4 linked regions of the Caenorhabditis elegans genome follow. The protein of the gene in region 3 interacts with the protein of the main gene of each other region in a pairwise test. Each region holds a gene or a part of one and is shown on either strand. Other genes may lie near its edges.

Region 1 (9,799 bases), 570 kb from region 3:
TCGCCGGGCTTCGGCTCCTAAATTCTGACCACGTAGTCACCGTTTTTCTCAAGGAGCTGGAAGACATCTTCTCGGGTCAGCAGTCCATGGTAATAGGCTTCTTTTTCGACTGGGGGACTGAAAACATTTAATTGTTAGCCGACATCTTGCGGGACTTCGCTGTTTCGCAACAGCCGACATATTTTGTGTCAAAATAACCAATGAGACGTCGGCTGCTTTGAAGCATTGAGGGCGGGAAACCGGGCATCCGATTTTAAATTCACAGACCGGCGAACCCCGGCTAACTACCTAGCTCATGCCCACCTTCGTGCCTTCCTCAAGCTTACATAAAATTTCACTGCATTTATTTCCTTGTGCCTACCTGGCGCCTGCCAGTTATAGCAGTACTAATTGAAAGGCAGAGCAGCCGACACTTCACAGGATTCCAGCAAAATGTCGGCTGCCACATTTGCCCCTCAAAACTCCCCAACTTACGTAGAATTTGATGACATTTGATGCGATGATGATATTAGTGAGTTCTATTGTTCAGGCAAAAATAGAAAAATTCTAAATGAATTGTTTTCCGATAAAATAGTTTTTTCACAATTTTTCTTGTGGCAAATTTTTTTTTTGTTGTGGCAAATTGATAGGAATCTAACCTCGGAAACGAGAAATAAAATTGTTAATCACGTCATTAAATTTTTATTTTTTGTGAATTGGAATAATTAGAAACTTTCAAGGCGTTTTCTAGGCCACGGAAAAAATCATTTATTCAGTGCAATATGAACAAAAAGATTGGGAAGCAAATAAAACATCTATTCAATAAAATGGAGAAAAAAAAGAATGTAAAAGAACATTTCACCGTCAGTGTGTCAGAGATTGTTTGTAAAATGAGACAAAAAAGCGAAGAAAATACAAATTTTGTGGAAATTTAACAAAAAAAAATTGGCAGATAATAGGCAAAAATTGAGGTTTTTAGGCCACGAAAAGTGTTTTTGGCTATTGAAAAAGCCTAATTTTAGTCAGAGCGATTTCTAGGCCAGCTATGTAATTTTCAGGTCATCTTAGAATTTTCTAGGCCACTTTAGAATCTCCTAGGCCACCGTTGAGTTTTCTTGACCACTTTAGAAATTTCTAGGTCGCTTTAGAATTTCCTAGGCCACCATGAACATTTTTTAGGCCACCTGGCTAATTTTGTCCATTTTTCCCCTTTTTTTGCCGATTTTTTTTTCCAAAAAATAGTGAATTAATCTGTAGAATAAGGCGAGGGAGAACTTGAGGAAGGGCTATTTGAAAAATTTACAGGTTTTGATTCATCATCATCACTTGAGGTATTCTTCGATTTTGAGGAATCGTCTGAATGTGGAGAAGATGGAGATTTTGTTGAATTTTGTGATAAAAATGATGGAAAACCTAATGGTGGAAGGAATGGAAGAGATCCAGCTGCTGATGGAGATGTGCTGAAAAATATTTGGAAAAATTTGAAAAAAAAACCTTAAATAATTTATTTAGCTAAAATTTTTTCACAATTTTATTTTGGTTTTTACGAAAAAAAAAGTTCCGATTCCAAACATTTCCAAAAATTGTGAAGAAACTTCAATATTGCCAATCTTCCAACTCACCTTGATCCATTATTCCCATAAGCTCCATTTCCGGGACCCGTGGCTCCGAATTGTGAGGCGGCAGCTGTTTTCATCCACATTTCATATGCAAATGGGTTTAACATGTAGGCAGCCATTTGTGGAGGAAAGGGCCACGCGAGACCACCGACTCGTTGCCGTTTATCTTTCATTCGACGATTTTGGAACCATACCTGCAAGAAATATTTCAGAAAATTCGACTAAAATCGAGAGTCACTTGCGAGTAATGGCCACTTGGCCACTTTCCACAAGTTTATTTGAAGTAGGGCAAATGAGAGTTTTCTAGGCCATCAGTAAGTTTACTAGGCTACCTAAAAATTTTTTGGAAAGTTCACAAAAATTCAAAATTTTGAGTCATGTCGGAAATGCATCGAGAAAAATTCCTGGGTTATGTCAAAGGTTCCTCGACCACCGTTTAATTTTCTAGTTCATAAATTATAGTTCCTAGGCCACCAGAAAATTTCCTAGGCCATCTGAACAATTTCTAAGACATCTGGAGATTTTCTGAGTTTTTAAAGTTTCCTGGATAATCTTAGGAAGTTTTAGATTATTTTGAAAAACGCTAGGTCATCTCAGAAAATTCTAGGCCAACAATTTTATTTCTAGGACACTGGAAAAAACTAGGCCATGTAATTTTCTAGGATTTCCTTTCATCTCTTCCCCCGCCCAGAATAAGCCTAACCCTAAGCCTAATAACCCTAAATAGCGTCAGTGGGGGAGCGTTAGCTCCAAGTCTAAGACTAAGGCTGAGCCTAAGCCTAAGCCTTAGACTAAGACTAAGCCTAAGCCTTAGCCTAAGCCTAAGCCTAAGTCTAAACCTAAGCCTAAGCCTAAGCCCAAGCCTAAGCCGAAGCCTAACTCATAAATTTCTAACCCTTCTCCTTCTATACTAATTCCCCCGAAAATCATATTGTAACTAGTTGAAGAGGCTACGAAGTTCTAAAAGTATGCCAGTGGGAATAAAAGGCGCGATACTCCGAAATCACTCATAGGCCCTCCGTTTTCTCCTGTCCTCTCAGCTTTTTCATTTTTCAAGGGAGATTGATATGCAGAAGAAGCAGCGGGTCCCGCGTGTATGTCATGGGAAATGATTTGGATTTGACGATGACGGCGGCAGGGGGACGGGGGTACGGTAGCCTATTATGATGCGGAAATCTGCTTCTAACTTTGTCAGTTTTGTAGCTATAAAAATGTTTTTAACTGATAAAATGTAGAAAATTGAATTTTGAATAATTTGGTAGTTGATAATTTTTTGATAGCTATGATATTTTCAGAGATACGAACGTCCAAAATGTGTTCAAACATGTGAGTGGCCTAGAATTCTCAATTGTGCTCTAGAAAGCTTAACGTAGTCTTAGAATTTTAATAGTGGCCTAGAATCCTTACTGATGACCTAGAAAACTTAGTTCTAGTTTTAAAGCTTCAGCCGTGGCCTAGAATCTTCAGTGGTAGCCTAGAATTCTCAATAGTTGTCTAGAATCCTTAGCGATGGCTTTTTGATGATCTAGAAATTTTAAAATTGGCCTACAATCAACTCTGATTACAAAGAATCCTCAGTGATGGCCTAAAGAGATCGTGGTAGCCTGGAATTCTTAGTGGTGGCCTAGACTTGTCAGTAATAGCTAAAACCGTCTGTAGTGACTTGGTCTGAAATATTATAGGTCGCCCAAAGAGCTATGATGTAGCCTAGAGCCATTTAATACTCTAGGAATTTTCATCCAATTTTTCTCTATTTTCAACTTACCTTAATTGTACCTTCTGGAAGATTCAACTCTGCCGCCAACTCGCCACGTGTCTTCCTGCTAACATAGTTTTCCTTTGCGAATTCCCTCTCAAGCCTCCCAATCTGTTCTCGTGAAAAAGCCGTTCGATACCTCCGCATTTGACCGTCGTCTCGGTTATCTGAAATTATTATAAATCAGCATTTCATCAACAGCTTCCCGACGACAAAAACACGGAGCAAATTATGTTTTTCGTCATACAGAATTAAATAATTAAAAGTGCTTTAAAATTCATCAATAAACGGCACAAATTGACTCTTCTTGTTTTTCATTATTAGCATCCCGGCGATGCGGAATTAATACATGCATTTCTTGATGAAAAACATAATTTCCACCCATTATCCTAGTGAGAGGGATTATGAGAGGAGATGGATGGCCGAGTTTTGGAATTCTAGGCCATGAGAAGGTGAAGGAGTATACTTTTGTGGATCGCTCATATGACTGGAGTATCCAGGTGATTCTAGGTTATGGATAGGGTGTTGTGGATCCCTCGAAGGAATATGGCCCATTCAAAAGGTTCTAGACCGTTAGGGAAGACTGTTGTTAACCCTTCAGATTTTGAGGGGAAGGAGGGGTTTGTGAATTCTAGGCCATGTGTAAGGAAGGGTGATCTGGACAGTTCTAAAAAGTGGTGGCAGAATTAGAAGTTTCTAGGTGACCAGGTCAAGCTTACAATATGCCGATCTAAAGGAAAATGGCTCAGATTGAGCTTTCTTGGTCATGTGGAACTAAGAGTGTTGTGGACACCATAACGGAACTTGGCCGGGTTTGAGAATTCTATGCTATTAGTATATGATGGTGCTTTGGGCCCTATAGATGTAGTTAGATTAGGTTGATTAGGCAAAGCAGAAACTCCCGGCTTCCTATACTTATCAGCGGTATAGTTGTCTCCTGACCAAAAGACTAGCTAGTCTAAAAGCCCACATGACATAAGCCTGGCCGAGCTTGCAATCCCTAGGCCAGATGTACCCTTCCCACTTTCACCCGTGTACCTGCCCGGCCGGAACATTGTGTCCTAATTAAATAATTGGTTCACTCCCCTTTTTACGACTAAGGGTGTCTATGAACTGATTCGACACGCAACACCAATTACATGACACATGGCAACATTAGGGCGATTGACTTCGGGGGAGAGGGGGAAGAGGTTAAGCACATCAGAGCATGTTTCCCAGTGTGTCTATCAGTGATCATATAACCCATTCGCAACACTAACATAGATAATTGACCACTAAACGACGCGTCTACAGTACCCCGAGAGGGGGGGGGGGGCAGGTGTAAAACAAAAAGAGAGAACATTTACGATATAATAGCCGACACCAAACAATCCTCATTCACACTCAGTGATTGTGTCGAAACCGCAACATTTACACATCGTTTATGATGACAGGGAGCTGCGTGGCCTAGGAAAAAGTCTGGCCTGGAAAGCAAAAATTCGGCCACGCCATGTTCTAGGAGATATGAAGCCTATTGAAATTGTATTTTCTAGGCCACAAAGAGAACTTTCAGGGAGGAGCACATGGAACTATATTAGCCCTTTGAAAGTTCATGGCCGTGGTTGAGTTTTCTAGGCCATCAAGAAAAGGGAAGCTAGTACAGCTTTGTTGAAAAAGCATTGGCGGGGATTTCAAAAGATCTCACTCAGTAAAAGTTGTGACGGGAAAATTCAAATTTTCAGAGTAGAAACTTTGGCGGAGAAATTTTTGGCGGGGAATTTGAATTTAAAAAAAACCAAACTGTAAAAACTATCAAAGTTAGAATGTGGAAATTTGTTTATACTTTTGGCCTAAAAAAGGCAACCTCAGTCACTTCTCGGAGGTAACTGTAATCTTTCACGCGTTGGTTCTAGCCCGTGGCCTAGAAAAAACTCGGCCACTGCCTACCCGCTCCACTACTCCCACGTGTCATAATAGGTGCTCATTGTCCATTTGCTCGTGTCAACCTCATCCATCCGCTCACCCCCCTCCACCTCAATCAATCTCCCTCAATTTGTCACCCCCACCCAAATACGGGACTAAATTAGTGTTCAGCGAGGAGATGAAGCTAGGGGAAGAAGTATTCTTGAATAATTATGTCCCTTCTCATCTCGGGCACACACACACCCATTTTTCTTACCATACGGATGATGACGTCCGGCGGCTGCTGCTGCTGCCGCTGCGGCCACCACACCCATCGGGTCATGATGCTGCTGCTCAAATGGAGGGGAAAATGAGGAAGCTCGAGATGCGGCGACCATCTCCACAAGTGATGGGACCTGGAAATGAGAATTCGAATTACGAGATGTTTTATGTGTTCGGATGGGGGGGGGGGGTGTGTCCTAGGTGATGGGGCTAAAGTAGATTTTATGCTCAACGTGGCCTAGGGACCCAAAACTAGGCCATAACAGTTTTGGGGTGTCAGGGAGGCTTTACTTAGAAACTAAGAGTTGCATCATCCTGGAGCTGTCCGGGGGTCTTCAGAGTTCGGCTAAAAGACTTTAGGGTGTCGAAAAAGTTTCAATGATATATTTTTTCAAATTTTTCTAGATTAAAAGAGGTAAAAACAACTTTTTTTATGTAAACAGTTTTTGATCTGAAAATAAAATCGACATTGTTTTACTAGACATAATTATTTTTCAACTACAATTGGAATTAATTTGAATACTAGAAATAACTGAAGTTTGGCTGTCAAAATAGATAATTTTCGGTAATTTCAACTTTTCAAAAAACGATTTTAATTTTTTTTTCTGTATTTCTTAAATCAAAATTTCAAAGTATTAATAAAAAAGAAAATAGTTTAAAGAATAATTTAAAAACTTCTAGCAAAACAGATTTTAAAAAATTAGAATTTAAATGTTTCAATAATTCAAATAACTATGCAACTATGCATTATAGCTGAGATTATGCAATATGACACTTTTTGATTATGCAACCTAATTAAATTGTCCATAACTCTGCAACTAATGCAGTTATCAAAAAGTTGACAACTAACAAATTATAGCTTAAAACATAATGAACAAATTGTTTGTTGAAAATTTTTTGCTTGCATTATTACAAACCAAGTTATAACCACTTTTAAACACTTTAAAAAAATTATCTTTTAAGCTTCAAACGCCCGATAATCTTGAAAATTGTGAAACTGAATGAAACTTTTACAGTTATCAAATAAAATTTTAGCAACATAAATCTTCTAAACTTTTATGATTAGATTAATAATTTTTCATTAAATTTTATTGCATGAAATTATATAATTTTTTATTTCTACCTATTACAGTTATCAAAAAAGTTGAAAAAATCCCTAAAAAACTACAAAAATTTAGAAACTTTAATTTTAATGGATCTTTGACAACAAGAAGTTTACAGACATTAAATAACAGTTCTACAAAAGTAAAAAACATGGTTCTCAAAACAAAATACAAAACAAAAAAATCTCACCTTATTAACCCCAATAAGGGACTCAATATCAAATGATTGCATGCTAATTTTTAAAATTTTTGATAGTTTTTTTTTCAAATAAAAGAACTTGAGTACTAAAACTCAAAGATAAAGGAAACAATAGAATAAGGCGCTGGGCGGGGCTCAACCTCTCGGTGACTACGGTGGATTTGGCCACGCCCCACGCTCAGATGAGAAGGGCGGCCAATAGAAGAGGGGAAGGAGTGCTGGAATAGAAAGAGACTTTAGATAATAATCTTTTTCCATGACGTTTGAAATTTAAAATACGGCAGATTTGGCATTTTTTTGGAAATTTAATATTAAGAGAAAATGTATTGCTTTTCAAAAACATCAGGTCATTTTTTTTTTCAAGTAAAACTTCAAAAAACCAATTAGTGGCCGAATTTTTGAGTTTTCCAGGCCACGTAACCAAGTAAAGGTTCTAGGGCCCTTACAATGAAGAATATTACACAATGATTAAAATTATTTTGCAGACAGTCTAATTTTTTTTCTAGACCATGTTTCCTAATACCCACGAGGTACCTGCGTGAAAGTTCCCCAATAACGGTTCTCAAAAAACTTCAGTATTCTAGGCCACGTGATCAAGCTAAAGTTCCCGGCCGTTACGATGAAATTCAAAATGAAAATTTTCGAAAATTTCACGGAGGTGGCCGAGGGTTCAAATTTTTTAGGCCACAAAGCAACTGGAGCCCCTTAGCTCATTCAATGTTTCATATTAATATACAAATTATTTTCTCTTTTACGGTGGCCTAATTTTGATTTTTCTAGGCCATGTGCTTAGCTAGGTGAAACGGATGAAAAAACTTATGTAAGTATTTTCAACATAAAAATTCAACATTCAAATTGACAGGTGGCCTAACTTGAATTTTCTAGGCCACTTTTGCCGAGCTCGGCAAATTCGGCAAATCTCTTTTTTCAATATTTGCCGAGCACGGCAAATTCGGCAAATTCGGCAAATTCGCCGTGCTTAACAAACTCGGAAAAATTTGATATTTTTTTATATTTTTTGGAGCACCAAAACTACTGAATTCTTAACACACATCTGGTTTCTGAATAAGTTCCGCGTAGAATGTCTGTTTAAGCATCAAAATAGCTCAATTTTGTATCATTTTACTAAATTTTTGGCTAAAAAATCAATAGTTTTAGTCAAAATTGTACTGTCAAATTTTTGACGTGTGCGGCAAATTTCGAAATTTGCCGAGCTTGGCAAATTCGGCAAATCTACTTTTTTGAAATTTGCCGAGCTCGGCAAACGGCAAATTCGGCAAATTTGCCGCACACCCCTGGTATGTATGATCTCACCGTTCTAATAGAAATTCAATTTTGCGAAATCAGAGTTTTGAAGTTTCTTGGGATTCCCATAACCTTTTTTTCAAAACTTTAAAAGCCATCTACACAATGGCCTAGTTTTTCTTAATTAGGCCACAAAGTCAGATGGAAACAAAAAAGTGTTCCTCCCCATCAAAAAGTGATGAAAGCCTCATCAAAAGTCATTAAGTGACATGACTAAGCAGCTCTTTTATTGTCATTGCATGTATCTCCCCTAAATGTTGCATCGGGAGAGAGAGAATGAATCATTCATCAGGCATTCCGCTCCCCCTTCTCTCTATTTCATTACTTTTTGGTATTGATACACTTGAATACATGTGGAAGACAATACAAAATGGTTTAATGTTTACTCTATTTGTAGGGCATGTCCCTTCAAAAGTTGAGTATAGGCAGTGTGCCTGAGAACACTGGAACTTCCGAACCAGGGGTGGGCCGCGGTTGCCGAAAATTTTAAAATTCGGCAATTTTGAAATTCCGACATTTTTTGTCCGATGGAGCGCGCTTTCATTGTTTTTTTTTCACTTTATCTCTTCATCAAGTTTTCCATCGCGCTCCATCTACTCAGAAAAGAGAAAAGACTTTAAAATCTAAAAACGTTCACTATTCTCAGTACTCACAATTGCAGTTTAGTATGGTCTAGAAATTTCAGTAAACTTTTTGGAAAAATGTTGCGTAGGTGGTTTCAGCTACCTAGCTGCATGGCCTAGAAATCAGAAAAGCTCGGCCATTACTTAACACAAATTTTTGAGTACTCTACAACAATCAGATCAGGTTTAGTTTGTGGACTAGAAATAAATCTCAAACCTCAGAAAACTCGGCCAAGTTTTAAAATTGTTTTCTACAAGCATGTGGCCGAGTTTTTCCGATTTTCTACGCTATTCGTTATTTTAAGAAGAATTGGAGATTTTTCCTACCTGCAAAAGTACCTAAGATGTCGGAATATTCTAAAAATCAGTTTTCATACCACATCTCTTTCACATCACACCAATGAGGCGTACGAGTAGGCGGTAGGCCAAAGCACGTGCCTACCTACGAACTATGTAAAGATCACTCGTAATAGATATGCATAAAATGTAAGTAATCGCACCTGTGTTAATTTCCTAATTAGTACCATAACCGGAAAAGGTGATAAAATCTTATTTTCAACCCCTCGGAAGGTTCAAACACACCTTTTCCGCTCGTAAAATACACCCCTTGGGATATAATGACACAAAGAGTGATACAATATGGTTTTAGAAAGAGGGGGGTGTCTCTTTCATTAGTCCCAAGAGGGAAACTATGAATATGGGGGCAGCGCGGTTTGTGTGACATGATATAGTATGTTGAACAAATTCATTTACGAGATGAAGCTTATGTTTTGGTTTTGAGACAAACGGGGAAAGAGATTTTGGGGTACGGTAGTCTCGGTGAACATTTTTAAAAGAGCGCTACGAGAAAAAAGAAGTGCAAAAAAATCCAATTTTATGGGCATATACAGTAAATTGTAAGCATTTGAAAATGTACATATTTCTCAAATATTCAAAAATTTGGCTAAAAATTTCAAGAAGAAATTTCAGAATTTAAGGATACACTTTGAAATTGCCTGAATTAAAAACTTCCAGCAAATAAGCAAAACCGGCAAATTGCCGATTTTTCAAAT
Region 2 (7,731 bases), 5.9 Mb from region 3:
GTAAAACTCTTCCAATTTTTGCTGGAGCAGGGTATGCCATGGTAGGCATGCCTACTTACCTATGTATTTTGAGTTCAGGTGTTTCGATGCTTGAGGCTGTCAGGCGTTTGTGTGCTTACGTGTAAGGACAGACGTGTCTTAGTGAAGGAGCTCCCGTCGAGCTAGACAATTTCAAAGCTGAAAAAGCGTCTCTCAAATATTTCCCGCACTGACGAATTTAATGATACCCTTGACTGGAAATCGCGCGCGCGAGAAGAAAATTATATGTTTTCGGTATTGCTTTCGGCATTTGAACAAGAGCTTTTCTGAGAAAAATATTGATTCAGAGCATTGTACTTTTTGGAAAATTATTCACAAATATTTTTAGACTAGCTCACTGATCTCTTGAGATGAAATACCGACAAAAGAGAATACAAAACTCTTTCACTATAGTGATACCGTAGAACAAAACAAATCCCCTTTCGGCTCGGATTCGCACCTCACGGTCTATTTTCTACTGGCCGCTGGGTTCAATCAATATTCCGATGCATCTCCTCCTTGGCCGAGAGGTTTGATGACCGGATGGATCGAAGAAAGGCAAAAAATTTACGGGAACGTAAATTGATAGATCACATTTTGCTCCATCGAAATTATTCACATATCGCGAACTAACTGTGCGGTACAGTCAATTAATCAGTCAATTTACGGAGCTTTATATCGGGGATTGAATCAGTATAGTATGCATATGGTTTCTCTTCAGCTCCCTGAAATTACAAAAACTCATAGTCATGCTAGTAGAATTTAAGCGAGCGCGGTTAATGAGTAAGCTTTCGAAAACAAGGTGACGTGCCAATAATTATCAGTTACTTATTGGTTGACGCAGCTGGCAAAACGGGATGTACAGATAGAAAGAAGTAAGCCGAAAAGCTCGTTCCTACGAAAAAAATCAGACAATTGAAAAATTGGAACTGTGTGGTGGCTCAATGTCCATTTTAGACTATAGTTAAAATGGAAATACAAAAGAACAGTTGGCGTGAGCATGGCAGATGGTGCCGACGGCAAAACCTTAAAGATTCTGAAGCTGTGAACGAAAAAGTTGGGATTCTTAATTAGGTGACAACTCTTACTGGATTGGAAGAACAGACTTTACCACCTGGATAAAATATGTACAGTTTGGAAGAGCAATAGTGTTACAGAGCTCATATAAGGGATTTGAGGGGATAATTCTGGAATCAGGAATGAATTAGATTTTGGAAGCCATGCTGACACAAAGATGTCTCCCCAAGATGGTACTCGGAAAGGCAGTCATATGTTATCTTCGCCAGGAGTGTGCACGGGCAACTTGCTCAAATGCAAAGGACCAAGATATAGAAACTATCCAAAAAAGCTTCAAAATCAAAAATTCTGAAAATCATGAAAAAATGGGCACGGGAACGCCTCAGTTCCAACTGAAGGAATGATGACGGCCGGCGGTGTGGTGGGGACCGAGAAGATTGAGGCCCTTTTGGCTACACGCAATTACAGCCACAATTCACTATTTCTCTCGCTTTATCCATTCTCTCTACACCACGTACACCCAGCAATTAGCTACAATATAGGGCGGGGTCCCCCTGTTGAGGCACACACACTCTGAAAGATAATTGGGCTAAATTATACCTCAACCATTTTTCTCTACTGCCAGCCTCTCCCCCCGGCACTTTTCCAAAATAATTGTCTTGTCTCTCCCCATCCGCTCTGAAATCATCATTAAACAATTTGATATGTAGGGGATCGAGTTGTGAAAAAGTTTTCAGATAAATCTTCTGATAAGATGGTCACCTAGCGACCCCAATGGCTCCACCCAGAGAATACTGTGTCCAATAGGAGACGACTACTCCGCCCACAACCAACGTACCGCCCATCAGTTTTGAGGTGTCTCCTCTCCACATCCCGCATCGTCTCTCTTCCCCCTTTTGCGATGGTGTGTTGTGCTATGTGTATGTGCCTACTAGTGCCCATTCCCTCCCACCACTACCATCATCATAATCTTCTTCTTCTTCAACTACTTCTTCTTCATCTGAATCTTCTGAATCTTCCATCTCCTCCCTTATTATCCTAATTCATACCTTTCTTCTTTTCCTTCTTCTTTCACTCAAATTTTAGGTAATCGTCTTGTCTCTCTCTCTCTCTCTCAACTGCCATCCATCTGAAATTTTAAATTGCCGTTGATAATTGACCCGAAATTTGTTGAAGTTGGATCTTGTGTGGGGGTGTGAGAAGTTTTTGGGGATCATAATGATAGGGTTATGACTTCGGTGCATCAGTTCAGCTAATTCTAAGTCTTCAAAGTTTATGGTAACTGATTTTTGTTTAAAATGCATGCTAGATGAAAGTTGTTATCGTTATCATGTACTTATCACTTGATGAATTTCCTGTCCAGCTTCTCCATCGCGAAACAATGTGGCCGCGTGGCGCAATGGATAACGCGTCTGCCTACGGAGCAGAAGATTGCAGGTTCGAATCCTGCCGTGGTCGAAACTTTTTTCTCATCTCACATTCGTTTTTTTTTATTTTTGAAAAGTTGATGCTCTTGCTACTACGAAATATTTGTTTGCCACGTCATTACTGATAATGTTATGTTGAATGTCATGGCACTGCTCCTCTGTTTAAACAGTAGAGACTAACTAAACTAACCGAATAATCATGAATCAAAAGTTTTGTCGTCGTTCTCGAAGACTTGCAAAAACCAAAGTGTGAGAACTGCAACCTTTCAAATGGTGTGAGAATTTTAAAAGTTTTCAATTTCATTCATTCTACTTCTTCACCTTTTTGTCCATTTTCAGAGTGTTTATTCCGATTACGTCTCATTTCTTCAGTTCTTAATTTTGTATATTTTTAATTACTTTCTTTTTCAGATGGACCCATCAAAAGGATTCGAATATGTTGCTGGAGATTATTATCAGACATCTGGAGTAGCTCCACCCACAAGCAACGGAGCTGGATCTAACGTTTCCCCTTATTTCCCCTACCATGCTTATCCGACGTCATCAACGAATGGAGCAACTGGTGGTTCTATGTATGGTACACCACAGCAAACGAGTGCCTATGCAATGTATCCTCCTGGGCCAGGAAGCTCACCTGAAGGTATGAAACTCGGAATTGAAAAAGCTTTGGAAATTGCCAACTGCTTTAACTTGGTCTCCTGTTGACACCTAGGAGAGTTGATAAGTACCTTTTTTCATCTTCAAACTGTGGCCGCGTGGCGCAATGGATAACGCGTCTGCCTACGGAGCAGAAGATTGCAGGTTCGAATCCTGCCGTGGTCGAAGCTTGTTAACTAATTTTATTTAAATTTCATTTAAAAATTTCAAAATCTAAACTAAAGATCTTGAAAACACGTCATTGTTCTAGGTTTACCAATATCGTCAAAAGTAAAAGACGTCAAACGCGATCTAACATTAGCACTTGTATCCAATGTGTTACTTTTTCTAGAGTTTCTGACTTTGACTCCAAATATCTAGATCATTAGAAATGGAGGTCTATGATTTGCTTTTGATTTGGTTTCGAAATAGATAGCATCAAAATTAGCACATAAAAGGGGTTATTATAAAAAAAGTTTGCAGAAGCTTTTCCCGAGCACACAACTACAAAAATCGTGGAAGGATGTGAGGCGAAGTACAACGTGAAAGGAAAGAAAATGAGGAAACCACGGACAATTTACAACTCATCACAACTGCAAATGCTTCAGAAAAAGTTTGTTTTTTTCAAAATTATTTAAATTGCAAATTTATTAATTCAAATTCATTTTCAGATTCCAAAAAACACAATATCTGGCGCTTCCGGATCGAGCAGCATTGGCACATGAATTGGGATTATCACAAACTCAGGTAACTATTTTTGTTATTTTGGGGAGATTTTTGTATATAATGCAACTTGCTCGTAAGATATGATGTACTAGGCCCGCATTTTCGAGAAACATTGAAATCTTTGCACGTGAATTAAAAAGGTCCGGTTGCGGTTTGATCTACAAAAATTGCGCGAAATTTATTTAAAATTTTTGTGACTGGCGCGTAAGTATGGTGCATCGGGGTAAGTGTGTTTCGTAATTTAAAATTCTAAAATTTAGTTGAAAATTAACAAATTGGCTGTCAATTTTCGAACAATTTCCGCTTACCCCACTGCCATATCAATGACCTTGACGAAATGCACACCATCATGTAATAATCCAGTCGTAATCTTCCTAATCCCTCGATCCAAGTCCCCCTCCTCCTCTGACACACACGTGTCTTCATTTGATTCACCGTAAAAACAGTACCATTAACTGTGTCTTGAGAAGGTCGTGCATTCCTCCAGTTTTATACGCGCTATTGAGTTTAGAGAATTGAAGAATGTTTGGAAAAGCGGTCGCAATTTTGACATAGATGCTGGTATCGCCTTTTAATTATTGTTTTTGATATCCCGAGGGATATGAAATGAGAAAGCTCTCAACTAACACATAATTATGCCACGTCAATAGGAGAAGAAGCTTTAAGAATACACGCGCTCAGGTGTTAGATGCTTATCGAATTTTGAGAAGTGGGATACGGGTATATCAATCATACCGTAACAGAAACATGTGTCCTGCCAAGATTTTATCTAAAGTCAGCGGAAACGGACGGGGGGCGGACGCCTGATTGACAGGTGTGACACATTGGTATTGGGTGTCCGGAAAATTGTGTGTGGATTTTCTAAACCAATTATTTAAAAGTAGCGTGATCGAAAAAAAATCCGAACCGAGCAAAAAATATGAAAACACAACCTCGATGCACCATGATTTACGCTTCAAATTAGATCGCTAAAACCGGCGTGAAAAATGTGGTGCAATGTTCATAAATCATTCTGCCAAAACTTGAGATTCTGAATCCAGTTTACCCAGTTCATGTTTCTTTCAAAAATTTTGGGGTGATTCTACAGTACACTTGATTCTTGTGGTTAGACATCCAGCCGGTTAGTTCATGAAAAGAGTGAATGTGACCTCTATAGGAATCTTTGCCTCTATTCAACCACATACTAGCGGATGGCTAATTACTCTTCTTTTTCCCTCTCTTCCGTCTTTTCACGGATGTCATACAGGGACACGCAGGGTCTATCTCTCTATGTATACATTGCCCAGTTTTTGCAAAATCGACGGATCGGAAACCAATTGGCACACCGGCCCCGATGTGGGGCTTTTCAATAAAATTGCGCTAAAAATTTAAACAAATCTTTTAAAATTTAGAGAGCACAACCGATCACTGAATTCCAGGTGAAAATCTGGTTCCAAAATCGGCGTTCGAAGCAGAAGAAACAGAAGGGTGGAAGTTCGGATCATGCATCAGATGAAGAAGATGATGATACGGAAGAGTCAAAGCCTGAAAGTCCACCGATGGGAGAATCGGTTATGATTCAGGAGAGCAGTGAGCCAAGAACACTTGTATCTAGTTCAATTAAAACTGAAATGAAAGAGGAATATCCACCGGTTAGTGAAATGTGCTGATTATCTGATAACCAAGTCTAGAAATATTTTGAATAATTCTTTGAAAACTTTTTTGAGTTGCAAAAATCCTTCACCGAAATTTTGCTGTAAAATAAAGCACGGTTTTGCTGTCCGAAAATGCAACCGCCTTCAAGCAGTTTACGTAGGCACAAAAACTCGTGTGTGCCTGCGTGACTGCATTGACAAAAGCACACGCATACGTGTAACAGATACAGGTACGAGTTTGCATAGAAGGCGACCACGCCTGCCTCGTAGGCACGCAGGCAGACACTCTTCGTCTGCTTTCAAGCTCTTTCGCAAAGCATAATAATTCCTAATATTTTTCAGATGACACTCAACGAGCAATATGCTTCTCCTTACCTCTACGGATCCGACTTTTCAACGATTCTCCCACCGTCACAGGGTTTCCCCAACAATGCGCTCTACAATACGGCAGGCGCTTATCCTAGCATTGACTACACAAATGGAGTATACCAGAATACTCTTTACAAGTATGTCTGAGGATATAATATTTCCTTTTTCTTGACTGTCAGTTAATTTAAAAAATTCTTTTTTACAAGGCTCTTGTAGTACCTTGCTAAAATATGTTCACTTTTGAATAAGCTGTCAGCCTAGAAAATATTGATTTTCTCGATGATTTGTGTTTTTTTCTTTCCAAACTTTTCTATGGTCTCATGGTTTTTGATATATAAATCGATATTGAACGTTTGCTTTTTTAAAGTTTTTTACTTGAAAAATGGCAGAATGCCAAGAATTATCAATCGACGAAAAGTTAAATTTTTGTATTTTTGAGTTTCCAGACAAAGTCTCCTAATTTTTTGGCAAATTTCGTATTTAAAATAATTTCTTGACTTTACTATAATCCAATAGTTTCCTGGTTTTATAAACTGTACGGTTTTTTTAATTGTTTGATTTTCTCGGAAAACCCCGATAATTTTTTTTAAATAGAAAAATTGGAAACAAATTCTGAATACACTCTTGGGTGGAGCCAGTATTTAGTCATTTTGCAACTAACTTGAAGATAATTTTGAAACAGAACCGTAAAGAAAAACTTGGTTCTTCTGAGCTTTGCAATTCTCTGTCTAATTTTTACAAAATACAAAGCCGCCTGCTTCTCTACCTACAATGCGACTTGCAGTAAAAAAAATAGGCGGTAGGCACGTAGGCAGGCAAGTAGGCACACAATAATAAAGTAAAACTTTTCCATAATCTGAAAATTTTGCAGCTCTACCAACCCAACATATAAATCACCGCATCATCTGACCTCATCGGCTACACCATATTAGTGCCCCTGCAAGATTCGGCGATAGTCTGCTCATTTTTACATTTTCAAATGCCTTCCAAAACCCTCATTTTCAGGTGTAGAAGACTTTATTATCATTTTAGACATTTGTTTGAGATTTTCATTCAATTTTTTAAAAATTTAAATTTAATGTAACATTTTAAATTCAATTAAAATGAAATCCCAGCTGAATTGAATGATTCTATCAAATAAATGATGTATTCAGAAGGTCCCGTTTGATCTCTAGAAATCGCGGAAAACTAGATTTTTGGCGCGATTCCTTGAGATCAGAGCCAGTTTACTTTCTGAATACTTACTTCTGAAAAAAAAACTTACTTTAACTGTTCAGATCTCTACCGATCTTCTTTAAAACTCCCTTCAACCTGTGTGCTTTTCCTCATTTCTTTAAAACTTTCTTTCCCTTCCTCATGTCTTCAACTCAATTTCACCGATTCCAGTTTTTTTCGTCTTTTCATTTTAATCCAACGGCCAACCGGGTGCCCGTCTTTTTTATTTATAATTAGATTCCTATCATATTGATATACTATCTTTTTTACTGTAAATTGTACTTTTAGTGAATAAAAAATTAAAATCTTCATACTATTTTGCAAATATAAAGAGTTTTTCTTAAAGTTAGCAGCGGATTTGATATTTTACTGTAGATATGATAGTGGTACGGTAGATGTATTGTAGGGAAAAATATTTAGAAATTGTTTTTTTTGTTCAAATGCTAGCTTTTTTTAAATCATGATTCTTTAAACAATTTTATTATAAATTTTTTATGCCAAATAATTTTCTAAAAATTAACACTTTGAAATTCCCGAACAAAAATGTTTTTTGAAAAGTTAAAAATTTGAATTTTTCGTCTAAAGTTGTTTAAACTAAAGTTATAATTTTAACGCTTAAAAATTTTCAATTTTTGCGATTTTTAAAATTTTAAACTCTAACTTTTATGTTGAAAAAAAACGCCGACAAG
Region 3 (6,433 bases):
GTCCGTATGTACCTCCACTGCTCCGCGAGCACAAAGAGCTTCCGTTCAAATTGCGTGGACTAACTTCTGAAAGTGATCCTACTCCAAATGACGTCATCAGCCGACTCGCGCGTGTGTGTGTTCCTGCCGCTGTAAATTGGAGCAACTGTACGTCTGGCGCACCACGGGCGGTGCGCGTTTTATGTGGTTGCATAATGAAAATACGCTGATCACCACGAAGAGTGAATGGATTAATTTCCTCAGAAGAGAAAACTTTGCCTAGAAATTTTTCTGAACTGGTGCCAAGTTTCACGGCCGTATATGACAGATTTTCGCCCAATCTCCACGGGACCCTAATAAATCAAAGGAGGCCCGATGTCAGTTAGACTTATCACCACTTCCTCTACAGTACCACATCATCTTCAACACTTGTGCAGATCTTAATCACCAAACCAACAAATAGGCCTTTCCTTCTTATATGTCCGGTCGGGAATTGCATCACTGGGCATTGCACGAGAGCCGTGCCCAGATTGATTGACTTGTCTCATCGGAGATTTTATCAAAGGGGTGAATGTTGGGATAAGGTACCTTTCTTGTTGTTAAGAAGACCTTCTTCGTCGAGGTGGCCTAAAAATTACACAGCTCTTCAGCTCGGATTTGCAGTGGAAAATTTTTCACTTTTATGTCCACGTAACGCCTTTTCATGGAGTTGCCCCAAACGAGTGTCACACCTTCCCCGCGGCCGTTAAAGTTCTCTCGGTGGCTTTGAAATTACAAGACTCTTAAATTCCAGCCACCTACCTTCTACAGTTTTAAAAACTTACTAAAATCATAATTTTCCAGATGCTTTTTTTTTCAATTTTTGTGTGTAGAAACATAACTTTACGGCCATGAAACGACACCCCAGGTTTTTAAAGTTGCTAGAATCGCCAGATAATATAAATACGTATGACTCTGAATATCAAGGTTTTTGTCTGATTGTTGCCTGTATATTGTTGCGTGGGATATTCAGAGAGACCAGAAAAACGTAGGCCATTATTGTGCAGGACATGCAACAATTTCAAAATTATCAGCCACCTACAAGCCGACTTACTCCTGCCTCGTGCCTACACGCGTGACTACTGCCTTCAAACCCCCTTAAGCATGCCTAAGAACATCAAAACATGCCTTACAAGATTTATTAGAGATAACCATGTCGGTGGTATTAAAAAGATCACGTCAAACGGAAGAAATAAAGAGAGAAGTCAATCAACGCAACAGCGGGATGCCTCTTCTAATCGGGTTGCATCGCGACATCGGCGATCCGGACAAGGCTGCCGAGTCGCAGCCTAAGCAGAGGTGCTCGTGGAATAAAATTTCTGAAAAAGCCAAGGATATCAGGTGGGCGATTAAAAACCTGCCTGCCCTTATAGGCGATAGGCAGGTATGTAGGCAAACTGAGGAGTTTGCTCCAAAATGCAGAAAGTAGACTATAAGAAGGTTACCTGAAGTCAATACTTAACATTTAATAAACTGAAAATTCTTACAAATGATCTGTCATATTTGAAATCCTGTAAAACATCTCTGAAGCTATTAAATTTTTGCAATTTAAGCTATTAAAATGTTGACCCAAAACTCCCTCCAAAGTTCCCAAAAACTATAACATGTCAAGTACATAAAATGTCCTTCCCTATCCATAACCTAATGATCACCTGTCAATTCTAGTTACCTAACAACATAAAACGCGTACCGCTCTTTCTCCTCCACCCAACAGTGCGCCAGACGGATCCCTTTACAACTCTCTGGTTGGTGATGATGTAATTTGGAGCCGCCGGCTCACCGCAATACTGTCGGAGCACAAAATTCAGGAAAATGATCCTGATTGAGAACATGGTGCATGCATTAACAGATAATTTGTTTTTGAAGGGAAAATCAATAATTATCTGGAGATTAGATATCTTGTTTTTAGAGATAGTTGTAAACAATGGCAAATTGTAAAACCACTTTAGATGAACCTGGAACTTTCGGGAAATCTGGCAACCGAGCTACAAACTACAAACTACAGAAAATCAATCTACAAATGTTTTTTTCAGTCAAGAACCGAGATATCAGTTGCACATGGTGCATCGAACACTAACAAGATTAATCAAAATTTGTCACGTCCAGTATATCCGTAGTAAAAGTGAGAATTAACCTCAATGATTTATCATCCTGCCCGTGTCCTTCTTCCCGTTTATCAATATTACCGTAGTGGTGATGGTGGTGGGGGCATCGAATATCGTCGTAAAATCGTCGTTAAACAAATTTTATGAACTCTATATACAAATCAAGCGTGTTATTATTGTTTGGTAGAAAGATTGGAAAACGATAAAGAGAGGTGAACAGGTTTCCTAAAATATCCCCCCGGAGATTCATTTCTAGCAAGTATTTGGAGAAAGATGAAGAGGGACTGCACAATATTTAAATCGTTGAACCAATAAAATAATAATCACAAACTTGGAGCATTTGGAGCATTCGATGACGATTTTCTAGAAACTGGGGAAGTTATGAGGTTTTTGGATTACATTTTTGATTGGAGTATCATGAACATTTTTTAGAACTCCTTAATAATAATTCTTCAAACGACAAAGAAGTTTCAACCAAAAAATTTGTCAAAAAGTGTTTCTAACAGAAATGAAAGTATGTAGAGAGAAAGTTGGGATAAAGTAGGTTGAGAAGTATCCCACATATCTCAAAAAATATTTGGTTTATCAAAAAGTTGTCAACTGACAAATAGTCGAGCAAAATGTCAATTGAAAATTCCCTCGTATTATTGATTTTTGGGAAGTTACAGCTGTTCAAACTTTTAATTTTGTCTATTTTCACCTTTGAAACTTATTCCTTCACACAATTCCCCTTTTTAGCATCCCGCCAAACATCGAAAAACCACGCCTACCAGTGTTATCGCTACCGTACCCCGCGGTCCGCCTTCGGGAAGGCAGGAGTGGGGCCGTGGCATCCAGGTGAGACCCCAGGCTCACTCTCAGCCACCAATCTGTTTAGTATTCACTTTTACGCGAATTTTCCAATTTACCAATATTTCAGTTTTTGCCCGTTTTGATTGAATCCTTATTATAATATGAAATTCCAGAGAAAAACCATGACAGATCAAGTGTATGTGACACTTCGAGAAGATCAGGATAAGCTGTGGAACCTCTTCCATTATCATAAAAACGAGATGATTGTCACAAAATCCGGCAGGAAAATGTTCCCGAAGCTTGAGTATGTGGTCAGAGGTCTCACGCCGAACAAGCTCTACGCTATGATGCTTCATATTGAGCCATCCGACGATCATCGGTACAAGTTCAGCAGTGGAGAATGGGTCAAGTCGGGAAAAGCCGAAAAGCACAGGGAGCCAAAGAAGTTGTGGCATGCGGATGGAGTTAGAAGTGGAAAGTGAGTTTTTTTTTGGAATGCTTTGTTAGTTGATCTTTTATTAGATAGCGCAGTCAGGGTTGGAGTACCTATTTTTCAGCAGGGAATCAGAAAATAATTTCAATTTAGAACTGTAATATCTCAAAGGAAAATAAAAATACAATAGTTGCTTACTGATGAAATGTTTATTATAAAATTTTCTACAGTTTTCCAATTGACAACTTTTTTGTAATGACTGTTTCAAGCAAGTTATAACTACTTAAAAATGTAACACATCGCCAACTTGAGCATGTTAACTTCAAACTGTTATAAAACTACGGGCGGTTTAAATATCAAATATCAAATCCTTTTCAAATAAATTATCTGATTTTCTGTATATCTCCCTATAGTAACTTTTTTCCAGAGAATGGATGACCAACCCAGTTTGCTTCGATCGTGTAAAAATCACAAATTGCGCTGAATCTACAAATGCATCAATGGTAACAGCCATAATTCTTTTCTCCTTCAACCTCAGCATTTCCCAATTTCTTCCAGATTTTCCTTCACAGCATGCACAAATACACACCAGTAATGTCAATCTACGAGTCCCCATCGGAGAGCCCATTCAGCGTCCCACAACCATCGACCCGTCTTGTCACTTCTGTTCGACTCACTTATACCGAATTTATTGCAGTTACAGCGTACCAGGTAACACTTGTTTGGGATCTAGATAACTTTGCCTATTGAGCCCGCATTAACACTTGCATTAACACGTGTGGCTCTCTATGAGCCACATCTTCTGAAGGGTGCGAACACTAATTGTTTGAGGGGTATTGTTTTGGGTTTTCTGTGAAGTGAAAGGGTTTGACACAAAACAAATAGAAGAAAAGGATATTTAAATAATTGTTGCAATTTTTTATTAGAAATTAAAGTAAAATGGGTAAATATATTAATATAAATTTTTAGTCTCATTCTTGATTTATTAAGATTTCCTCAAAAACCGTAAGAGAGCTATCATGAAATTTTTGACCTATAAAATGATGTATACTTTTCAAATCTGAAATAACTTTTCTCTTAATTGAAAATATTGAAAAAACACTCAAAAATTGTCTGAAAGCTGAAAATAGCTTGAAAAAAGTTTTGATAGTTTGCCGGCAGTTTTTTACCGTTTTTCCGATTGTTGCAACTGTCTCAGGCGGTTTTAAAGACCAACAGCAAATAATTAACTGCATTATTTAATCTACAATTTTTTATTTTCTTGAAAACAGCGAGGCATCTCAGAAAGTTGTCTTTTTTCCATGGCTCAATCAAAATGTAACTCTTAAATTCAAAAACTTCCAGAACGACGCAGTAATCAAGCTGAAAATCAAGTTCAACCCATTTGCCAAAGGATTCCGAGAGGGAAGCCAATCAGACAGAAAACGAAATTCTCCATCCGCCGACGACTCTACAACAGATGAAAGCTCATCTCAAGTCTCTTCTCCTCAGCCAAAAAAGTCACGAACCGTGTCAGTATCACCTCCATTGATGCCACGGATCCTTCCAACAATGATTCCACCACCACCAGCCATCAATCCCCTTTTCTACAGTCTCCCCTACTTTTCCCATTTGGCAGCCACCGGGAACTTCCCGCCTGTACCATTCCAATTCCCATTTGGACTTCCATGCTTCTCCCCAATGTCATTTCCAACACCTCCGCCATCTTTGAAAAATGTCAAGAAAGAAGAGCAAGAGGATATTGAGCAGGAAATCAATGTAGTTTAATTGCAAAATTTAATTATTAATTTTAAATTGTTATACTTTAGTTCGGGTCACATGATCACTTTTTCTGTTAATTTTTTCTGCATAGAAGATTTTTTGTTTCTGAATTTGGACATAATCAAATAAATTTTATACGGTGTAATTATCTTCCAGACAAGTAGGCAGGCAGGCAAAAATGCTCTTCTGCGGGCATTCACAAAAAATAGGTCTTCTATTGCCCATGCCAATTTTTTGAAAAAATAACTTTAACTTTAAAAACCAGTTTTTTTGCGGCCTTTAAAATTGAGCAATTTTTCCTTTAAAAAATTTCCAAAAAACACCATGGCCGAATTTGTATTTTTCGCGGCCACGAGACTTCAATTTTTCATGGCAATGTTTTAAGAAACTTTTATGGTTTTTACAGTTTAAATTTTTTCCACCATAGAGCATAACTTGCCACGTGGCCGAAAAAAAACGGTGGCGGAGTTTCTTCAATTGGTTCTTTCTGCCACCAAGACTAAATGCGGGGCCGAGGTTTCACACGTTCTAGGCCACGCAATTTCTTTTTTGAACTGTTTTTCTTCTTTCCGTTCCTTCAATTTTCTCCGTTATGGCCTAGACTTTCTTGTGAAAAACTATAGTTCTTTCAATTTTGAAATTGCGAAAAATCGGCAAAGTCGACCTGCTCAATATGATGACGTGGAAGATTCTGCATGAGAATTACACAGTGTGTCATCACCCCTCTTACACTTTTGTTCTCTCCCATCACAGCCTCCCATACACACAATTTCACTACAGTTTTGCTCCTCGCGCGGCTTGATTATCATTATGTTTATATGGTCAAAGCCGAGTTTGAAGTACGCCCGGGCGGCGAATTTGCATAACCCCACAGAGAGACAAAGTACTGTGTCGGTCATGTTCGATCAGTGGTTAACAGTACATGTATATATGAGATTTGTTTTAAAAGAGCAGCTTCTTCTCTACCACCACCACTTGAGTCTACGTTTGCCCCACAGAGGGTGAACAAACGGCGCTAGGAGCCCGAGTTATTTCGAGATGTGTCACTCTTTTACAAGTTCGTCGCCACGTTTGACACTTTTTAATTTTTTTTGTGTTTTGTGCATTGGTAATTAATTTGTATATTTTTAAAAGTTATTTGAAAAAGTTGGGTCTCGCCGCGAAAATTTCGAAAATTGTTTTTCAGTCCAATTAGTTGCTATAATAATTTTTTGGTTTTTTTCTGTAATTCCTCAGCTTTCTGCTTTTTTAAACACTCAAGTTTTATTTTATTACCGTAACTCCCTTTAAAAAAATTGCCCAGGCATGAAATTTTGTGAAAAAT
Region 4 (5,592 bases), 3.9 Mb from region 3:
TCCATTGATTGAATTGATAGATATGGATCAAATGATGATCCTTGTGTGAATAAGCTTATAGGAAATCCACACGAATCCTTTTCTTTCAATGGATCATCATGTGAAAGCTGAACACCAACCTCCTCTTCTATCACTATTTCTTCGCTTTTTCCTTCAGTTTTTGAATTTACATTTTTGAAATGACAACTCGTATTGACCCCGATTGTTGCGTAGAACAGACCTTCTTCCAAAAGCTCTGAAATTCAAAATTAAACGATTTTAAAATGTCTGTATATTCTTACTTGGAAACATTGAAACAATAGCCAGCATAGTTTCTCCTAATCGTAATCCAGTTGGTGCAATGAATAAAACTTTCCGCTCTAATAGGAATAATTTAAAAAGCAGTAGAGCTCGGTGACGGAATCGTATAAAAAGCTCTTGAATTGATATTTCTGAAACTGATATCGCTAATTAAAATGTGAACATTTGAAACTATTTTCATGTTTTATTTTAGTAAATTGATTCAATAACGTACCATGATGAGCTAGATTTGAAAAGTATTCTCCAGTAAGATTTTCGTCGAATATATCGCAAAGATTCGTATACATTTGAGCAAGAACATCAACTTTCGAAAAATCTTTTTGTTCAAAATATGCCTGAGTTATTACTTCCAATTTTGCTTTTAATGGACCAAAAAGTGGTATTCTTGAAAGAACGCATACAGCTTTTTGAACACTGGTCCTAGTCACATCTTCCGATTTATTTATTAATTCCTGCAAAGTCAAACAGTTTTTATCTGAAGAGTCATATAAAATCTCACTTTTGCATCGATTTGTCTGTAACACGAGATGCCAAATATCGATTTTCCAGGTTCTTCTCTAGATGGAAGCAAAAAGAATATTGTATCTTTTTGACAATTATGTACACCATCCGGCAACGCCAGTGATGGAAGAAGATGCCATTCATCGGGTAATCCCGATTCGCCCGTGCCATCGAGTTTCGGGTGCGAGTATTCTACCTACAAGATTTATTTTATTGATTTTTTACAAATTGAGTTGATGAACTTGAATTTAAATCTTCACTCCATATAATACAAAACTTAATAATTAAATGTATATGAAAAATACTGCAAAAATAGTAAAAAGTACCAAAAACGTTCTGCTTTTTGTGAAATGTTCGATTGACTGTAACATTTATTTCAAATTAACTGCAAAATATACGCGATTTTGTAGTTTATATTGCCATTTTATTACTTTCCTGCACATTTATGACCTTAATCGTTACGTTTTCGAGTTTATTCTTTTATGTATCATATTTTCCTGATTTTTCTGATAGTTTGCCATTTTTGTTACCTCACATCCTCGCTTGTGATGGAAACTAACGACGACCACATTCAGAATTGGATGCATCTTTCTCTGAACTGTAAGCTCTAATGTTTTCCCGAATTTTACCATCTTCAGATAAATTCTTATGGTTGCTATACCGGAAAACGGAATATACTCGTAAAAAAAGATTAATGTAGCAAAATTTATGGATTTTAATTGTTTTCAAAATGAAAAATTGAGATTTGCACGCTGATAATGTTTTCCGATAGGGATGGAAACGATTTTAGCGTTAACCAGTCATTAAAGTAGGTTTCCAACTCGCACCTCATGTACACCACAAAAATGAATAATTCAGGAAAAAATGGGCGATCAACGAGAAATTTACAGAAGAATTAAAGATATTAAAGGCATTTCGTAGTGGAACAAGTGAGGAGATTTTCAGGTTTCAATGAAAGGAAAGAACAAGGGACTTTTCAAAAGTCAACAGGAAAGGTACAGAATTGGATACTCACGAGATCCAGATTATCATAAATGAGCACGTTATTACGGCTCGTTATTGAGATTTGTTTCAGGTTTGATTCGCTGTGAGAATGAGAAAAGGCGGTTGAAAGAGACGAAGTAATGAGAGGATTGGGCACGAGTGCCGTGGAAAATATGAGAAAATGAAGGGAATTACAGTAGTATACTCGTGAAGGTAAATGAACATTTGAAATGGATTGAGCAGATCGAAGAGATGTTGTGGAGCAACATATTATGTGTTCACAAGCCATGGATTCTTGGCAATCGTCTCTGCTGAACGATCTCCATAATCGTAGAGAAGCTCTTCTCCTTGTGCGATTTGACGCCTGGCGACGAGAATCAGGTGATGCGACCCATCGATTTCCACCACCTGGAATGTTTAGTTTTGGAATTGTTATTTACATTTTTTTAATTTATCAAAGACTTTCTTAATAAATTTCAAATTTTGAAATGCTCACTTTCGTTTTGAGATTCGGCCTTAACACGGAATGATTGATGAGTCGTCCTTTCCATGGAGATTCTTTTGTCGCATCGATACACCATTTTTTATTGTTGTGCTCAAAAAAGTACATGTAGGATCCGATTTCCTCATCATTCGAATATTGTTCTTCTATCACTTTTGCTTCCGAGTACTCCATCATAACACCTAGAATACTTTTTAAAAACAATATTACAACAATTATCTGTGTTATCTACATACCTCTGTATTCGACAACAAAGTCTCCTTTTTCAAAGTTAACTTTCGTTCGAATTCCTCGCCCCTTCACAACATCTTTGTACACTTCAAGAAGTCGTTCATTAGTCCCCTTGAGTACGGTATCGCGAAGAGCATGTTTAGCTTCATCGCTAATTTGCTTGCTCGTCTTCCGATTACTTCGCCGCACTTGGAAGAATTCTGTGATTTTATGGTTTGAGACATCTTTCACCGACACTCCTTTTCTGAAAGAAAAACTATTTGGAAATTGAAGTTTTCAGCTTGGACAATTTCTGTGAATATGTTGTGAATTCAATTAGAAATATTGAAGTTTTTAAACGTTCTATTACAATCCCTCTTGTCACTAATCAATCATACCTGCTCCTTGTGTTTTTCGACGGTGTCATTCTTCCTGAAGATGAAGAGTGTGAAGCCAAAGACGATGGATTTTCGGAGTTCTCAATATCACTAGATGGTGACGCTGCTGCGGCACGATCCTTTCGCATTCTACTCGTTGCCAGCTTCTTCGCGGCAACTTTCATCCTTCGAGTGACACCGCTGAAAAAATAATAAATTTTGTAGGGTGAGGAGAATAGTAAAAATAGAGAAATTTATAAAGAAGCAAAAGAGGTGTCATAGAAATAATAGAAATATTCGCCCACAATTTATTTTTTTTGTTTTGAAATGGTTGGGTAAAAATATTATAATGTGTTGTTTCAAAAACCCAGATATTCAATATGATTTCATCGGTCCTGAATACTGTAATTGAAAATGGAAAAGCCATCTTGGATGTACCTGAAAAAGTAGTTGGGAAGAGGGTAACAGAGGAAATTGAAGCGGGCAGAGAGATGCGTAAAGCAGATTGAATGGGTTTTCGGAGGAATATTTTTTTTAGAAAGTGAAGGTTTCTATTGTGAAAAGGGTGGGCTTTCACCGATTCCGTTGAATTTCCAAATATCAAAAGACCGAGTAGAACATCATCATTAAGATATTTATCCACATTTCGTGAATAACCTCATTAGAAATCAAATTCAGTGGTTTTTGACGAGAGCTGAGCACAAAGAACAATGTCGTGCACACGCGACTAAATTCAAATGGTGTGCAGTCATATGGTTTTGGCGGGAAGTGCCGTGGAGCGTTATTGCACTCACGGTAGATGTCGGTGGTTGGTGTAAAAAATGGTGGATTGAAATTATGGAATTGAACTTTAAAATGTATATTTCCGTAATAATAGATACACTTATTGGGCTCGTAAAATTAAACAGAAAAGATACTCAAAGATTAAAATTTAGATAAATTTTGACGCCATGCGCATGACTAATGTTTCTATTTATATTTTAAATATTATACCAACTGGAATTTTAAATTTAGATGTCCTATTGATCTATTAATTTTGACTGAATTGAAAAAAAACAACTATGAGAAACAGAGCAACAAATCGATGGCAACATCGTGCACAAGAGTGTCATCGCATAAAAAATGCAGTTTGTCATTCTTCAATGCGACTACATGAGAGCCCGACGAAGAAGATATGCTGAAAAAAAGAACATCGAATCGGTGTCGAGAATCTGAATGACATAAGAAGATGCAGCCGCTGGTTTATTGATGCTGGCAGCTAATCGATTATGAATGGGTAATTAGAAAACGATCGGTATATTCTATTCCATTCCCTTCCTATTTATGCTGCGGTCGATAAAACGCTAAATCGATAAAAAGTTTAGTCGTTGTAAGATTGAGCAGCAAACAAAGAATGGTGCCGTCCACCCGTTCGTTTTCGACTGTTTTGTCAATTCAGCGGTCTACGTCACAACGCCACATAATTGTAGGCCAGAAAGGATGTCAGGGGAAATCGATACGAATTATCAGGAATAAGGAAGAAATATTGACCTTGAAAACCCAGAATTGTATTTTAATGGAATAAATAGTAAAAAAGAGGAAGAAATAGTGAAATCAGGGAGTGAAAAGAAAGGAGGCTGGTTATACGATCAAACAACAAACAGGAATGCACTATGGGGTGAGGGTGAGGAGAGTCGCAGAGAGAGAAACGGCTTGCGTCGAACACGCCAGTGGTCCAGCTTGCGCCTTTTCCGTTCCTTGCCCATAGTTTCTATTTCGATTTTTGCACGCTTTTTGCTTTAATGTTTTGAATGTGTATTTCTCTCTTATTGCTTTTAAGAAGCATTTAAAAGCAAAAATAATCAAATTTTAACTTTTTTCATCGTAGTGCGGAAAATTATGTTCAAAATTTGTCAATTTATTTAAAGATAATTCCTTACTCGGTCTTATTAACGCTTCAATCAAAACAATTAGAAACAGTTTTCAAAAATAAGATGAAAAAAGTCCAAAAAATTAAATAAATAAGAACCGACAAATCGATCGATTTTTTAAAATCACTGTGTTCCGTTTGAGACCCTTCGAAAATTCCATGTACCTTTAATTCAAGCAGTTCACGAAACTTTTTTTGGGTACTTAATTTACATTTTCTTTTATTAAAAGCCATTAGAATCTCGAAAGTTAATCTAATTAATCGCTTGAAAATGTCCTGAGAAAAACTCCGTTCTCTGCGTTCAAGTCTTTAATTGATTTACCGTAGTTACGCCAACTTTATGACAGTTTTGTATCATAACTAACCATTTTCCTATGATTCTAATAAAATATATTATTTTAGATGCCGCCGAAACGGAAATCAAATGGAAAAACGCCAGCGAACGGTAAAAAGGGCGCAAAGAAGGCTAGGAAAGAGTCAAGTTCAGAGCACGAACATAGTGCTTCAGAAGGTGAAGAAACTACTGGATTCGATAAGTCGTCACTTCAACGATGTGTGAATTTTGATTTCGAAGCTCTGATGAATGATCCGTCTTTCCAACATCCCGAATTTGTACATACAATGGACCCAGAAGCTTTAAATTTGGAGTTCTACGACAAAAATGGACTTGACAACCCGATACATTTCCGATGTGATCCAAAAAGAATAGGAATGACGTGAGTATTGATTTTTCCAATTAATTGTAAAAATAAATATTTTTACAGACTTCCCTCACCAGATTTCTCAGTGGATGATGTCCTCGAACTGGT

What was found.
Region 1: the proteins of tbx-8 (region 3) and vab-7 interact in a two-hybrid assay, tested with the Caenorhabditis elegans proteins (one large-scale study listed by BioGRID).
Region 2: the proteins of tbx-8 (region 3) and ceh-43 interact in a two-hybrid assay, tested with the Caenorhabditis elegans proteins (one large-scale study listed by BioGRID).
Region 4: the proteins of tbx-8 (region 3) and set-1 interact in a two-hybrid assay, tested with the Caenorhabditis elegans proteins (one large-scale study listed by BioGRID).

The regions. Positions count from the first base shown.
Region 1 is NC_003281.10:10,917,439-10,927,237, reverse strand, and holds vab-7 (Homeobox protein vab-7), read right to left. Parts: upstream 6,895-9,799; 5' UTR 6,853-6,894; coding exon 6,811-6,852; intron 5,652-6,810; coding exon 5,513-5,651; intron 3,522-5,512; coding exon 3,364-3,521; intron 1,793-3,363; coding exon 1,602-1,792; intron 1,440-1,601; coding exon 1,226-1,439; 3' UTR 1,197-1,225; downstream 1-1,196. UniProt on the Caenorhabditis elegans protein: Transcription factor. Involved in motor neuron fate determination and maintenance, acting as a transcriptional repressor to counteract gene activation by transcription factor unc-3 in a subset of motor neurons.
Region 2 is NC_003281.10:4,445,086-4,452,816, reverse strand, and holds ceh-43 (Homeobox domain-containing protein), read left to right. Parts: upstream 1-2,873; coding exon 2,874-3,102; intron 3,103-3,207; exon of another isoform or gene 3,208-3,286; intron 3,287-3,581; coding exon 3,582-3,711; intron 3,712-3,769; coding exon 3,770-3,845; intron 3,846-5,215; coding exon 5,216-5,455; intron 5,456-5,800; coding exon 5,801-5,974; 3' UTR 5,975-6,167; downstream 6,168-7,731. UniProt on the Caenorhabditis elegans protein: Probable transcription factor. Binds to the sequence motif 5'-ATAAT-3' in regulatory elements. Required for development of the anterior hypodermis during embryonic morphogenesis for cell adhesion; also affects embryonic and larval viability.
Region 3 is NC_003281.10:10,344,487-10,350,919, forward strand, and holds tbx-8 (T-box transcription factor tbx-8), read left to right. Parts: upstream 1-3,088; 5' UTR 3,089-3,097; coding exon 3,098-3,393; intron 3,394-3,775; coding exon 3,776-3,851; intron 3,852-3,906; coding exon 3,907-4,059; intron 4,060-4,692; coding exon 4,693-5,115; 3' UTR 5,116-5,254; downstream 5,255-6,433. UniProt on the Caenorhabditis elegans protein: Transcription factor. Involved in the control of early morphogenesis of the intestine, hypodermis and body-wall muscle. Involved in regulating expression of vab-7. Appears to have partially redundant function to tbx-9.
Region 4 is NC_003281.10:6,449,298-6,454,889, forward strand, and holds set-1 (Histone-lysine N-methyltransferase set-1), read right to left. Parts: upstream 3,076-5,592; 5' UTR 3,060-3,075; coding exon 2,896-3,059; intron 2,763-2,895; coding exon 2,524-2,762; intron 2,478-2,523; exon of another isoform or gene 2,470-2,477; coding exon 2,282-2,469; intron 2,271-2,281; exon of another isoform or gene 2,194-2,270; coding exon 2,056-2,193; 3' UTR 1,495-2,055; downstream 1-1,494. Other genes in the region: T26A5.6 (UDENN domain-containing protein), read right to left, coding at 1-235, 282-437, 515-752, 800-997, 1,332-1,388; jhdm-1 (JmjC domain-containing histone demethylation protein 1), read left to right, coding at 5,186-5,499, 5,548-5,592. UniProt on the Caenorhabditis elegans protein: Histone methyltransferase that specifically monomethylates 'Lys-20' of histone H4 (H4K20me1). H4K20me1 is enriched on hermaphrodite X chromosomes and during mitosis. Involved in dosage compensation by repression of X-linked gene expression in hermaphrodites.